Caenorhabditis elegans: one gene and its partners. The protein of the gene in region 1 purifies or fractionates together with the protein of each later gene. This does not show direct contact. Each region holds a gene or a part of one and is shown in the gene's direction. Other genes may lie near its edges. The genes, in order: sftb-6, Y94H6A.2 and smr-1.

Region 1 (3,084 bases):
TGAGCAGGGCTACCGGTTTTTAAGTTAAAAAACCAAAAAATTGGAAAATTTACGGTTTTTACAACAAAGAAATTTAAAAATTTACGGTGTTTCTAAAGAAATCGAAAAATTTGTGGTTATTTCAAAAATCGAAAAATTTACGGTTTTCGGTTTGAAAAAAATGGATAAATCGAAAATTTTTCGCTTTTTCCAGAAAAATCGAAAAAGAAGTTTTAAAATCCGAAAATTGTCGTTTTTCGGTTTTGTTTAAAAAAAAACTTTTTTTTCGAAAAAAATTTTTTTTTTTAATTTTTTCGGCTGCACCCCTGATTGCTAGTACCTCCGCTCTTTTCTTTTAGTCTCCTCGGCTTGTTCAAACTCCTTCAGCTTTTCCTGAAATTTTTTAAATTTATTTTCCGCGAAAAAATTCGTCTACATATTGCCAGTTTTTTCCAGTCAAATATACCTGCTCTTTGAGCCATGACACGTAAAAAGGCGTGGGAGGGTGAAAAAACCTGAACCATTTTTTTGGGGGGAATACCTGTACGTCAGCTTGTGTGCTTGAGAGATTTCAGCGTTTTTCAGAGCCCATTTTCTAATAGTAAAAGCATATATAAATATGATATATACGTGTGCATATTTACCTTAAGCTGTTGAATCATAGTCCGGATTTTTTGGAAACCTGTGTGCATTTTTCCAGTCAAATGTTCTTCGATACGCTGTTGAGCGTCATTCACGATGAGCATGCTCCCACACACTTCACAAACCTGTAATTGTATTTTTCTTGGATAAAAATCAGTCTAAATCTTCTAGATTTTTAGATTTACCTCCATTGGCTTAATTGCCATTTCGTCAAGCATCGGTGGCATGGCTTGTGGGTTCGGTTCGTTCATTTGTGAAAGTTTCTCTTCAAGACCTCGTTTTTCAGCTTCAACCATCTCGCTTCTCGCGACTATTTCCTGGCATTTTGTCACATTTCCCTCACTGCCGGCTTGCTCTGCGTCTCGTATCATATTTTTCAGGACATCATCTATCGAATTGATCTCCAATTGTACCTGACGCTTCTCTTCCTCTAACTTTCGCTGAAAAATTGCGTGTTTTCGACATTTTTTTTCAGATTCAAAGAGTTTACCTTTCCACTATCATCCATTCCGGACAATTTGTCTTTGTTCTTTCGAATTCTTCGCTGATTATCTTCATCTAATTGAACGAGAAACCGCATAAGACGTCTTTCAAAGCCAAGTTGTCCATATTCTGGAGATTCTGGATACAATCTTCGAAGATTATCGTCATGTACTAGCTGGCACGCTCCCAAATCTGCCTTTGTATTGATGAACATGTCGTGAGGACAGAAACCGACCAGGAAGTACGGGCATATGTCAGGATCCTGTAATAATCTATCAATAGTTCCAGGGGAAAAAATTTAAGTTACATCAAATGTGACTTTTGTGTCTTTTCCTAGTTCAACATTCCGTTTGGGACCCATTAGCTCGTCGAGCATTGCTGCCATAGCGTTGCGAGCCGACATGACTGTAAAATTTATTTTTTGTTGAAAGTTTGAGAGAAAAATCGGTTGAAATAACAGAAAAAAACATCGTTTCGCCGGAAAAAAAACAAAAGTTTGTTTGCAAAAACACTAGTGTATATTTACGGTAAACAAAGTGCGCATGCGTAATTTCGGAGTGTCGTTGTTGTGCATTTTCCTTTGAGAAAACGCGTTAAGATCACTATTTTATCGACTTTTTTATTATTATTATGAAATATATTCAATAGAATTTTCTATTTCGAATCATTTTTCAGTAAAAATGTTGAGAAAATTCAGTAAACAATACCAAAAAAGAATTCGATGAATAAACAAGGCGCGTGGAATTCCCTGTGGAATTTCGGAGTGTCGTTGGCTAAAATCTTTCGAATTATAAAATTTAATTTGCTTTCGAGACTCTTTTTGCCTCTTATTATTACGTTTTTTCTTCAAATTTTCAATTTCAGATTCACAATGGCAATGGCAAATCGTCAAAACCGTGGCGCAAAGCTGCCGCCAGAGGTCAATCGTATTCTTTATATTAAAAATTTGCCGTATAAAATCACGACGGAAGAGATGTACGAGATTTTTGGAAAATTCGGAGCAGTTCGGCAAATTCGAGTGTAAGTTCAAGCACAATTATGGTTTTGCCTGTTCTTGAAGAAGCCCGACCAGTATTGATTTTTCAGCGGAAACACTGCAGAAACTCGCGGAACTGCATTCGTCGTCTACGAGGACATATTCGATGCGAAAACCGCCTGCGAACATCTGTCTGGCTATAACGTTTCGAATCGGTATCTTGTGGTGCTCTATTATCAAGCGACAAAAGCGTGGAAGAGAATGGACACGGAAAAGGCTCGTACCAAGCTTGAAGATATCAAAGAAAGATATGGAATTGGTGGAGACATCGACAAGGAAAAGGAGAAGTTGGGATTGTTCACTCCAAGAAGAATTTAAATATCGTGTTTCTTTAAACCTTATTTTATCATTTCCCTCAACCTTCAATGAATGATAATTTCTCTGTGATTATTTTTCTTTGAACTTTTCATGAAAAAAGTATAAAGAGTAGCTGAGAAGTATTTCTAGAAGCCTTTCCCATGTAGTTTTCACTGCAACTTTTTTCGAACGAGGGGTGAGAAAAAATGCGAAAAATCGGTGTTTGCACACAATACACCGCATTTTACGACATTTTCTACTTGCTTTCTTTTCTTGTGTTTTTCACCGATTTTTCCCGTGTTTTCTTATTAAAACTGATAAATAAATATTTTTTGTTAATGCTAAAATAATTTCCAGATGAAAAAATTGTGAATTCAGCCGGCAAGTAGCGGTGAAAGTGGTCAATGTAATATGATGGATTACGGGAATACAAAACCCAAACTTTTCCCCAAACATGATACATATGATGTTTAGATGCTAAAAGTACCTGATTTTCATAATGAGACCGCTGAAAAAGTTTTGAGATTTTCAAAATTCAACTTTTTTGGTAAAAAAGTCGAGATTTTGGCACAAAATGTTGAATTTTGAAAATCTAAAAACTTTTTTAGCTGTCTCGTTATGAAAATCAGGTACTTTCAGCATCTTAA
Region 2 (4,527 bases), on another chromosome or scaffold:
GTATTTGAAAATTTTCTGTATCGACACTGGCGCCTAGAAAAAACCTTTGAATATTTCATGAATTCAACTTTGCGAAAATTACTCAGTTTTTTTTGTCTTCACAAGGTGTAACGACCCACAAAATCATCCGAGCTTAATCTTCTATTAAAATTCTTGAAAGTCAGATCAAAACGTTCCCCGAAAAATACTAAAATGAGTTTTCCTGCATACTGCTGCCGCCGCTCACATCTATCTTTCTGGCGACTGTGTCATTCAAGGCTTCTATGTCATTCAAACTACTGCCACAGTCATACCATGACAGAACTTTTTTGGATTTTTGTTTTCAAAGAATCTCTAGACCAAGAGCATTCTTTGAACTATAAAAACTTGTAAGATACTTGATGGGTTCCTCGAAAAAAAAAAAGTAAAAATCCCGCAGAATGCCGACTTGCGTGCCATCAAGAACGTGATCTCAAAAGTTCGGAAAGCCTGCAGCGATGCGGTTAGGGAAATTTTAAAAATTTTAAACGTTAATCTGGTCAGTATTTCATGGAGATCAAAATTTATACAAATTGATGTAATAACTCTCGCCACACGTGAAGTTACAGAGCTGCAAACGTGTTACCATACTTATGGCGCAGAAGAAAAATCAATCAACAATAACTTTATTTAGGATACACCTGCAAATATCCAAAACGATTTACGATCATAGTTTTTTCCCAAAAAAGTCTTTTCGAAAAATCCCTCAATCAAGGCGCCGGGTCTTTTTGAATACTCATTTAAGTACCAGTTCACCGGTCCGAAAAAGATAGTAGTGTTGCGCCGAATGATCAACACAAGTCCACATTCATCGCCGAACCGTTCGCAAAGCTTTTCCGCATAATCTCCTGGAGATTCTTCGAAGGATGCTCGATGCAACACCTCCACAGTCGTAGTAAGTACAGTGTACCGCATTTTCTATATTAGTCGCCACTACCATACTTTTATAATGTGTTTAACTGAAGACAATTAATGTTAATGTTAATGCAATATGAACTAATACGGAAAATACGGTATTTATTTAAAGAAAACACCATTAATTAATTTAAATCAATATTCAGCATTCATGACCTTCGTGAGTACGTGCGTGGTCTTCGCGAAACGTTCGGCGCCGAATGTGGCTTTGTGGGGATTATTCGAAAACATAGAAACATTCGCAAACGTTGGGTAAACTGTGACCCAGACGATTATCCCAGAGGACCCGGTGACTGTATTGAGAGATGTTTCAAGGGCAATGGTTCTGACTTTTTTTTTGGTAGTGGCGACTTTTTTCAGTACTGGTACGGTCAAAAGTTTGAGATAATTGCTGGTGTTCGATGAATATTTGTAGTTTTTATTCAAAACCGTTCCATTGTAATAAAAACTACGACATTTTATCTTTTTGCGATTTCTTTTTTTTTAAATAAATATTTTATCTAATACCTTCAAGGAAAACTAATGTATCTTTTACATGTTTTTTGTGAATAAATCTTTTCTTTCTTTTAAAATCTTTTAAAAAAATCAGAATTTATAGTTTAGTTCTTTAGTTCGGAACTCACTTACTATGCCAAAAATCGTGTTCCCTAAATGAGTCACTTGGTACTATTGACATATTTGAGTATTTTCAACACATAATTTTCTTTGACATTTTTGCCCTTTCCGAATTTTTATGAGGAAGACGCTAGCATTCCTGATAAAGAAAATGTCAGTATTCCTCATACTTAGTTCCACAAGAAAAATGGCATGCGTGTAATGTGTAGCACTAGAGTATAAAACAAGAACAGAGAAAAGAAAGATAAGACATCATTGCTTTTCTATTTGGAGACAGTTATATATTTCAAGATGGCTGGTAAGATTCTATTTTTAAAATAATATGAAATTGAATCGAATTCTCAATTTTCCAGCTGTAAACTACACGACGGGATTTATTTCGGTGGTCACTGGCTGCCTAGGAGTACATGGGGCTTATGCGTCCGCCGCAGTGGTTCCGCATTTAACTGCGATTTGTGCATGCGGTGCTATAGTTAGTGCATATGTTACGATGGCTGCATACAAAGATGACAAATCAACGGAGCTGATACTCAGCGAGCTCAAAACGCTCGACAAGAAGATTGGGGAACTGTCACATAAGATGGACGCGTTGTTCGGTGATCTTAAGTCATTTATAACAACGTCTCACTTTTACATGGTATGTTCGGAATAGATATTGGTTCAAAGTGTGGTTACGAAGCCTTCTGCGCAGGAAAAAAGTTAATCACGACCCTTTTTAACCTTCACCCTTTACCCTTACTCAAAATTTTGCAGAATGAGGTCGCTACAATCAAAACGTTGATGAAATACATGCAGGATACGATGAACAATCCTTGTAAATACACAAAAGAGCTATTTCGTGGCGCTGTGACGGATAATAAACCTTTGTGGATTGCAGAGGTAGGACTTATTAAGGAATCACAAGATTTCAATGTTAGACAGCTTCAAATTTCCAGCAAATGATTATAAAACTCGACCAGGAGGAAACGAATCCTCTCAAAATGGCAATGAACTGTGATCCTCTTCGACCAACGGAAACTTTTGAAAAATGGAGAAAAATAATCGACGGAGTGCTTGCCCAATGTGTAGGTACTCACTACATCCCTCACTAAATAAAGTGTATCATATTCAGCTGATTTTGGAGACGTACCAGAATGGAATGTTTTGCGATAAGAACATGATTGGACCGAGTCGTTTAAAGAAGCAAACCGAAGAATTACAACTGAAAATGAATAGATGGGCTGAAGAATACCGTCAAGATCACTCGTACTGGGACGATGGAGTCTTAAGTTTAATCCATAATGTGCAAGACAATAATGAGGGAAGTGAAAATATACGAAATATTTTGACTAAAGAATTGGGCAAGATCATGACAAAGTGAGTATTTTTGTAAATTGACAAGGGACATAAAAGGGTAATTGTGTATTATAACTTTACTTTTTTCAAATTAAATTATGACCGGGGTAGCAATTATTTTATCTGTTAAGTTATTTAAAACGTGAATAGTATTTCCATTATTAGGCTTACAAAGGAAGTATTCCAATTTAACCCCGGTCAATTTAGGCACTTTGAACTGGAAAGAAGTCGCTCTGAAAAATTTTCAATGCATTTTTCACGATTTTCGCAGCCCGTAAAATTCCTCCAAATGTTGATTTTTGCAGATTTCTGATGATTTCTAGGCTTTTGAGGGCCAACCAATTTTTTTCTGGAATTTTTTTAATTTGTGAAAAAATATAAAAGATTTTGGTCCCGAAAGACCAAAAAAGCCAAAAAATCTGCGTTTTCCGAAAATTTATTCAAAAAAAGACAGCCCTGCTGTGAACGTCAGTAATTTTTCTCACATCCACTTACAAATGTAACCATTTTTTGCACACCATATCGCAAACAGTCAGATTTCAAATTGATTTTCCAAAATATTTCAGCCACAAATTTTACGTGATCGTCTACGATTTCTGTGACGGTTCATCTGAGGAGTACCAATTCACTTCATACAGCTATTTCAAACGCAATTTTAAATCTTCTTTCAATCGAAACGGGTGCAATGCTTTTGTTTTACGAAGCCTCAGAACCCAAGATTGCAAAAGGCACGAGGAGAACCTTCAAAGAAAGCTGCAAGCTGCCCTTCCAATGGAATACGAGTTTGTATTTTGCGGCTTAATGGCATAACATTTGATCCAAACATTTTTTCAGCTACAGATTCAAATTGATTGATTATGCGGAAAAGCTTTGCAAACGGTTCGGCGATGAATGTGGACTTGTGTTGATCATTCGGCGCAACACTACTATCTTTTTCGGACCGGTGAACTGGTACTTAAATGAGTATTCAAAAAGACCCGGCGCCTTGATTGAGGGATTTTTCGAAAAGACTTTTTTGGGAAAAAACTATGATCGTAAATCGTTTTGGATATTTGCAGGTGTATCCTAAATAAAGTTATTGTTGATTGATTTTTCTTCTGCGCCATAAGTATGGTAACACGTTTGCAGCTCTGTAACTTCACGTGTGGCGAGAGTTATTACATCAATTTGTATAAATTTTGATCTCCATGAAATACTGACCAGATTAACGTTTAAAATTTTTAAAATTTCCCTAACCGCATCGCTGCAGGCTTTCCGAACTTTTGAGATCACGTTCTTGATGGCACGCAAGTCGGCATTCTGCGGGATTTTTACTTTTTTTTTTTCGAGGAACCCATCAAGTATCTTACAAGTTTTTATAGTTCAAAGAATGCTCTTGGTCTAGAGATTCTTTGAAAACAAAAATCCAAAAAAGTTCTGTCATGGTATGACTGTGGCAGTAGTTTGAATGACATAGAAGCCTTGAATGACACAGTCGCCAGAAAGATAGATGTGAGCGGCGGCAGCAGTATGCAGGAAAACTCATTTTAGTATTTTTCGGGGAACGTTTTGATCTGACTTTCAAGAATTTTAATAGAAGATTAAGCTCGGATGATTTTGTGGGTCGTTACACCTTGTGAAGACAAAAAAAACTGAGTAATTTTC
Region 3 (4,493 bases), on another chromosome or scaffold:
GGGTTCCGTGAATTTTTCGAAAATCGGGGTCTCGCCACGAAAAACCCCAGGAGTACTGTACCTACAGTAGCCAGCTGGAGCATAACATTTTTAAGATACAGAAATATAATTTTCCTACATTGTAAAACAAAATTCATTCAAAAATCTTAAAAACTGACGGAGTTATAGATTTTCGAAAATTTTCGAATTTCTCAAAAATTCAAAGCTACAGTAATTTTGTGAATTTCGTGGCGAGACCCTCAAAACTTAGATAAATGAATTCAGCTCATCGAGAGCTTTAATTTAAGTACCACCATGCCTAGGTTACGTCGAATTTTAATTTTCTGGGTCTCGCCACGCGGGGTACTGTAGCTCTAGTTTCAGCTGTGTCGAAGCTAGAAAATTCAAAATCGCCTGATTATAGTCATGATGGGTGTCATTTGAAAGCTCTCGGCGAGACGAATCCAGCTAAAATATTTTCAAATCAAAAAAAATCAAAAATCTAGTTTTCAGATTTGCGAGGAGCTCTCGGTGGTGCTCTTTGTGCATCCTTGGGATATGCACATGTGGGACGGGCGGCTGGACAAATACTGGATGCCATGGCTCGTCGGAATGCCATCTGAAACTGCTCAAGCCATTTGCTCAGTGCTCATGGGCAACATTTTGGTGCTCTTCCCCAAGTTGAAGCTCTGCTTTGCACATGGGGGCGGCGCCTACCCACAGATTCGTGGCCGAGTTTCTCACGGATGGAATGTTAGGCCAGACTTGTGTGCTGGAAAGTGTAAAGTTGCTCCGAATAAGCTCGATGGGCTACTGTGGACGGATAGCTTGGTTCATGACCCAAAAGCTCTCGAACTGCTGATAAATACCGTTGGAAAGGTGTGCAATTTTGATTTTAGAGAGTTCTAGATAGAAAATTCGAATTCCCCGCGTCGTCAGCTTTCAAATGACGCCCATCATGACTATGCTACGTTCATTTTGAATTTTCCTGTTTCGACACAGCTGAAACTGGTGCTACAGTACCCCGCGTGGCGACACCCAAAATTCACAAAATTTCGAAAACCTAGGCAAGATGGGTGTCAAATGAAAGGTGTTAATGTGCTGAATTCAAAAATTCAAATTTTTTGGGTCCTGCCACGAATTTGCAGAAGCTGAGGCAAGTTTTCGTGGCGAGACCCAAGAAATATTGCGAAATCTGTCAAACTTGACGAAAACTAGTTGATATGGGGCTTATTTTGAAGCTCTTGACTTGCTCAATTCAAATTTTAACTTGAAATCAAGAAATTTGTGGTCTCGAAGCGACAATTTTCGAAAAAAACTTGACATTCGCGAGAAATCCGTCAATTTTCATCATTTTTTCTCAATTTTTCAGGAGCATATAGTGCTTGGCACCGACTACCCATTTCCGCTTGGCGAGCTTGAAGTTGGAAGAGTTGTGGAAGAGTATAAGCCATTTTCTGCCAAGGACAGGGAGGATTTGCTGTGGAAAAACGCTGTAAAAATGCTGGATATCGATGAAAACTTGCTTTTTAATAAGGATTTTTGATCATTTTTTGGTTTTTATTGATTTTTATTGGGACATGTTGGGTTTTTATTGGTTTTTAATAAAGAATTTAGACTTTTTGTTCGAAAAACGATGTTTTCACATTCAAATACCCGCCGAAAACGAGAAATGCGCAAGAGTGGGGTTGCTGGCGCAATACTCGATTTTGCTGACGCGTTTCTCGTCTTTTTGAAAATACATTTTATTTCATCGATTTTCGCCGGATTTTCGCCGGTTTTTCTTGATTTTTCTTGATTTTTTGCCATTTTTCAGTCAAATTTCATCGTTTTTCTCGATTTTCTTGCCAATTTCCAGCATTTTCAGTGAAAAAATAGCGGAAAAATGGAGGAAGAGCTCGCCTCTTACAAACTTCAGCTCCAGCAGGTCGAGGCGGCTTTGCTCGGCGATCCGACGAATGTGGAGCTTCTCAAGTTGAAGGAAGACCTCGGGGAGATTATTTCGCTGCAGGTAGTGTGAAAAAAAGCGGAGAAAATGCAAAATTTTCGAAAAAAAATCAATAAAAACTGATTTTTTTCCAATTTTCAGGAAGATTTGGCGGAAACCGACAAGGCAGAATCATCAGAGAGGGCTGTGGTGGCTCCGCAAGTGATTCACAAGTGGACGGTACGGATTTTCAGCGAAAAAACCCCGATTTTCGCCAATTTTTCAGCTAAAAATCGATTTTTCAGGTCGGCGAACGAGTTATCGCCCCACATCCCGACGGAAAAAAGGTTTTCGCCAGAATCGACTCACTTACGCCCGCCGGAGTGGCTATTACCTTCACATGTAGGGGGATTTTATCGATTTTTAGCCCAAAAATCGTGAATTTTCACCAAAAATTCGTATTTTTTCAGCTACCGGCACGAAAACCATCGTAGATCCCGCTGATCTCCAACTCCCGCCCGAAAATCAGCGAAAAAATTATGCATTTGATAACACAAAGTCGGCGGCCGGACCATCGACTCAACACGGCAAAAAGGTTGGAAAAAATGGAAAAAATTCCTTGTTCTTCTGTAAAAAACCAGAAAAACCCCGTTTTTGCAATATTTTTGAGCTAAAAATCGCAAAAATCACCAAAAATTGACACTTTTTCAGCTTTTATCGACTATTTTCTGCAGGAATTTCTAGAAATTGACGTTTTTCCGGATAAAACGGCTTTTTTCGTGAAATTTTCATCGATTTTTTGGACTTTCCGGGGTACTGTAGCTCCAAAAGTACGCAAACACCACAAGTCTTACGGCAAAATGCAGAAATCTTGATTTTTCACATTTAAAGTGATTTTTCTCAAATTTTCAGTTGGAAATCGAGTTTCTCACTCATTTTTACCCCTGGAAATCGGTTTTTTGCACAAAATAGATTGGTGGCCTAACTTTTGGGATTTCTAGGCCACCAATCTGAAAATGATGGTTTTAAGCCATTTTCATCGATTTTTTTTGGATTTTTATGTCAAATATAGACGATAAAAACGATTTTAAACTGAAAATCGCAAAATTTCTAGTTTAAATCTCTAGAAAATCCCAAAAATCGATATTTCCGTGACTCATGTGCTTCTACTCGGATTGATGGCATAAAAACTGTTTTTATTTACATTTTCAGTCTTAAATTGGCTGAAAATGTAGGTAAATACCGTATTTCTGCCAACAATTTGACAATAAAGCACATTTGTCACTCGGAGATGCGGAAGCTATGCCCAAATTTTTAATTTTACCGAAAAACTCGTAATTTTCACAGATATTCAGCCCAAATATCGACTTTTCCATCACTTTTTACCCCCGTAGCCCGTTTTTCAGCCAATTTATGCAAATTTTCGTAAAATTCGGTGCCTAGGCGGTGTTTGCGTACTTTGGCGCTACCGTAACCCTCGAAATTCAAATTTTGAGCTATAGGCCCTGACAAAGGTCCATTTGGGGTAAAATTAAGCGGAGAATTTGAATTTTAGCATGAAAATTGCTGGAAATTGCTGAAAAATTCAAAAAAAAAATCAAATTTTTTCAAATTTCCAGGAATGGCAAGCAGAAAAGGAGCGCCGACGTCAAAAAGCGCTCAAAAAACAGCAAAAACAGAAGGAGCTCGACTCGATAAAGGATGGCGAGAAGAAAAGTTGGCAAAAATTCAACACAAAAGCCAACGCGAAAGGTCTGAAGGGCCTGAAGAAGGTTTCGGCGACAGGATCAAGCCAGGATGGCTCGGCGAGCAGCAGCGGCGGCGGCGGAGAGAAGCGAGGAACGATCGTCTCGTCGAGAAGCTCTCAGTTCATTTTTAAAGCCACCCGTGGAGCTATGGATTCACTTTTTTGAGCTCTCTTGTATATCCGATTTTACTGTACTTTTTTTGTGTTCTTGATATAATAAAAACTCGATTTTTTCCCGGAAATTGTGAAAAAATGCCAAAAAACACTTTTTTTCGGACATGGTGGATCGTTTCAGGTGTCGGGGGATATGGTCGGGTACTGTAGGAGTACGGTAGGATTACTGTAGTTTGGGAAAAGTTGGCTTTTTTGTCTTTTGAACGGACATTGGTTTAGGGTTAGTGGGGGGATATGGTCGGCGTACTGTAGGGGTACTGTAGTAGTACTGTAGGAGTACTGTAGGGGTACTGTAGTAGTGCTGTAGAGGTACTGTAGTAGTACTGTAGTTAGGGATAACTTGACTTTTTGTCATTTGAGGGGATATGGTCGGGGTACTGTAGGGGTACTGTAGGATTACTGTAGTTTGGGAAAATTGACTTTTCGTCTTTTGAAGGGATATTGGTTTGAGGTTAGTGGGGGGATATGGCCGGGGTACTGTAGGGGTACTGTAGGAATACTGTAGTTTTGGAAAAAAGTGTTTTCGTCTTTCGAGGGGATATGGTCGGGGTACTGTAGTAGTACTGTAGTGGTACTGTAGTTTGGGAAAAATTGACTTTTCAAGGGATATTGGTTTGGGGTTAGTGGGGGGATAAGGTCGGGGTAATGTAGGATTACTGTAGTTTT

What was found.
Region 2: the proteins of sftb-6 (region 1) and Y94H6A.2 fractionate together in Caenorhabditis elegans (co-fractionation; one large-scale study listed by BioGRID). This does not show direct contact.
Region 3: the proteins of sftb-6 (region 1) and smr-1 fractionate together in Caenorhabditis elegans (co-fractionation; one large-scale study listed by BioGRID). This does not show direct contact.

What each region holds. Positions count from the first base shown.
Region 1 is NC_003280.10:96,436-99,519, forward strand, and holds sftb-6 (Splicing factor 3B subunit 6-like protein), read left to right. Parts: upstream 1-1,968; 5' UTR 1,969-1,975; coding exon 1,976-2,124; intron 2,125-2,190; coding exon 2,191-2,458; 3' UTR 2,459-2,526; downstream 2,527-3,084. Other genes in the region: luc-7L3 (Luc7-like protein 3), read right to left, coding at 320-372, 624-746, 807-1,061, 1,112-1,366, 1,412-1,507.
Region 2 is NC_003282.8:2,728,453-2,732,979, forward strand, and holds Y94H6A.2 (DUF4781 domain-containing protein), read left to right. Parts: upstream 1-1,839; coding exon 1,840-1,846; intron 1,847-1,901; coding exon 1,902-2,185; intron 2,186-2,301; coding exon 2,302-2,427; intron 2,428-2,483; coding exon 2,484-2,612; intron 2,613-2,659; coding exon 2,660-2,904; intron 2,905-3,449; coding exon 3,450-3,665; intron 3,666-3,717; coding exon 3,718-3,952; 3' UTR 3,953-3,970; downstream 3,971-4,527.
Region 3 is NC_003281.10:1,141,326-1,145,818, forward strand, and holds smr-1 (Tudor domain-containing protein), read left to right. Parts: upstream 1-1,846; 5' UTR 1,847-1,864; coding exon 1,865-1,990; intron 1,991-2,068; coding exon 2,069-2,146; intron 2,147-2,211; coding exon 2,212-2,308; intron 2,309-2,376; coding exon 2,377-2,501; intron 2,502-2,854; exon of another isoform or gene 2,855-2,943; intron 2,944-3,525; coding exon 3,526-3,819; 3' UTR 3,820-3,886; downstream 3,887-4,493. Other genes in the region: acsd-1 (2-amino-3-carboxymuconate-6-semialdehyde decarboxylase), read left to right, coding at 493-858, 1,352-1,525.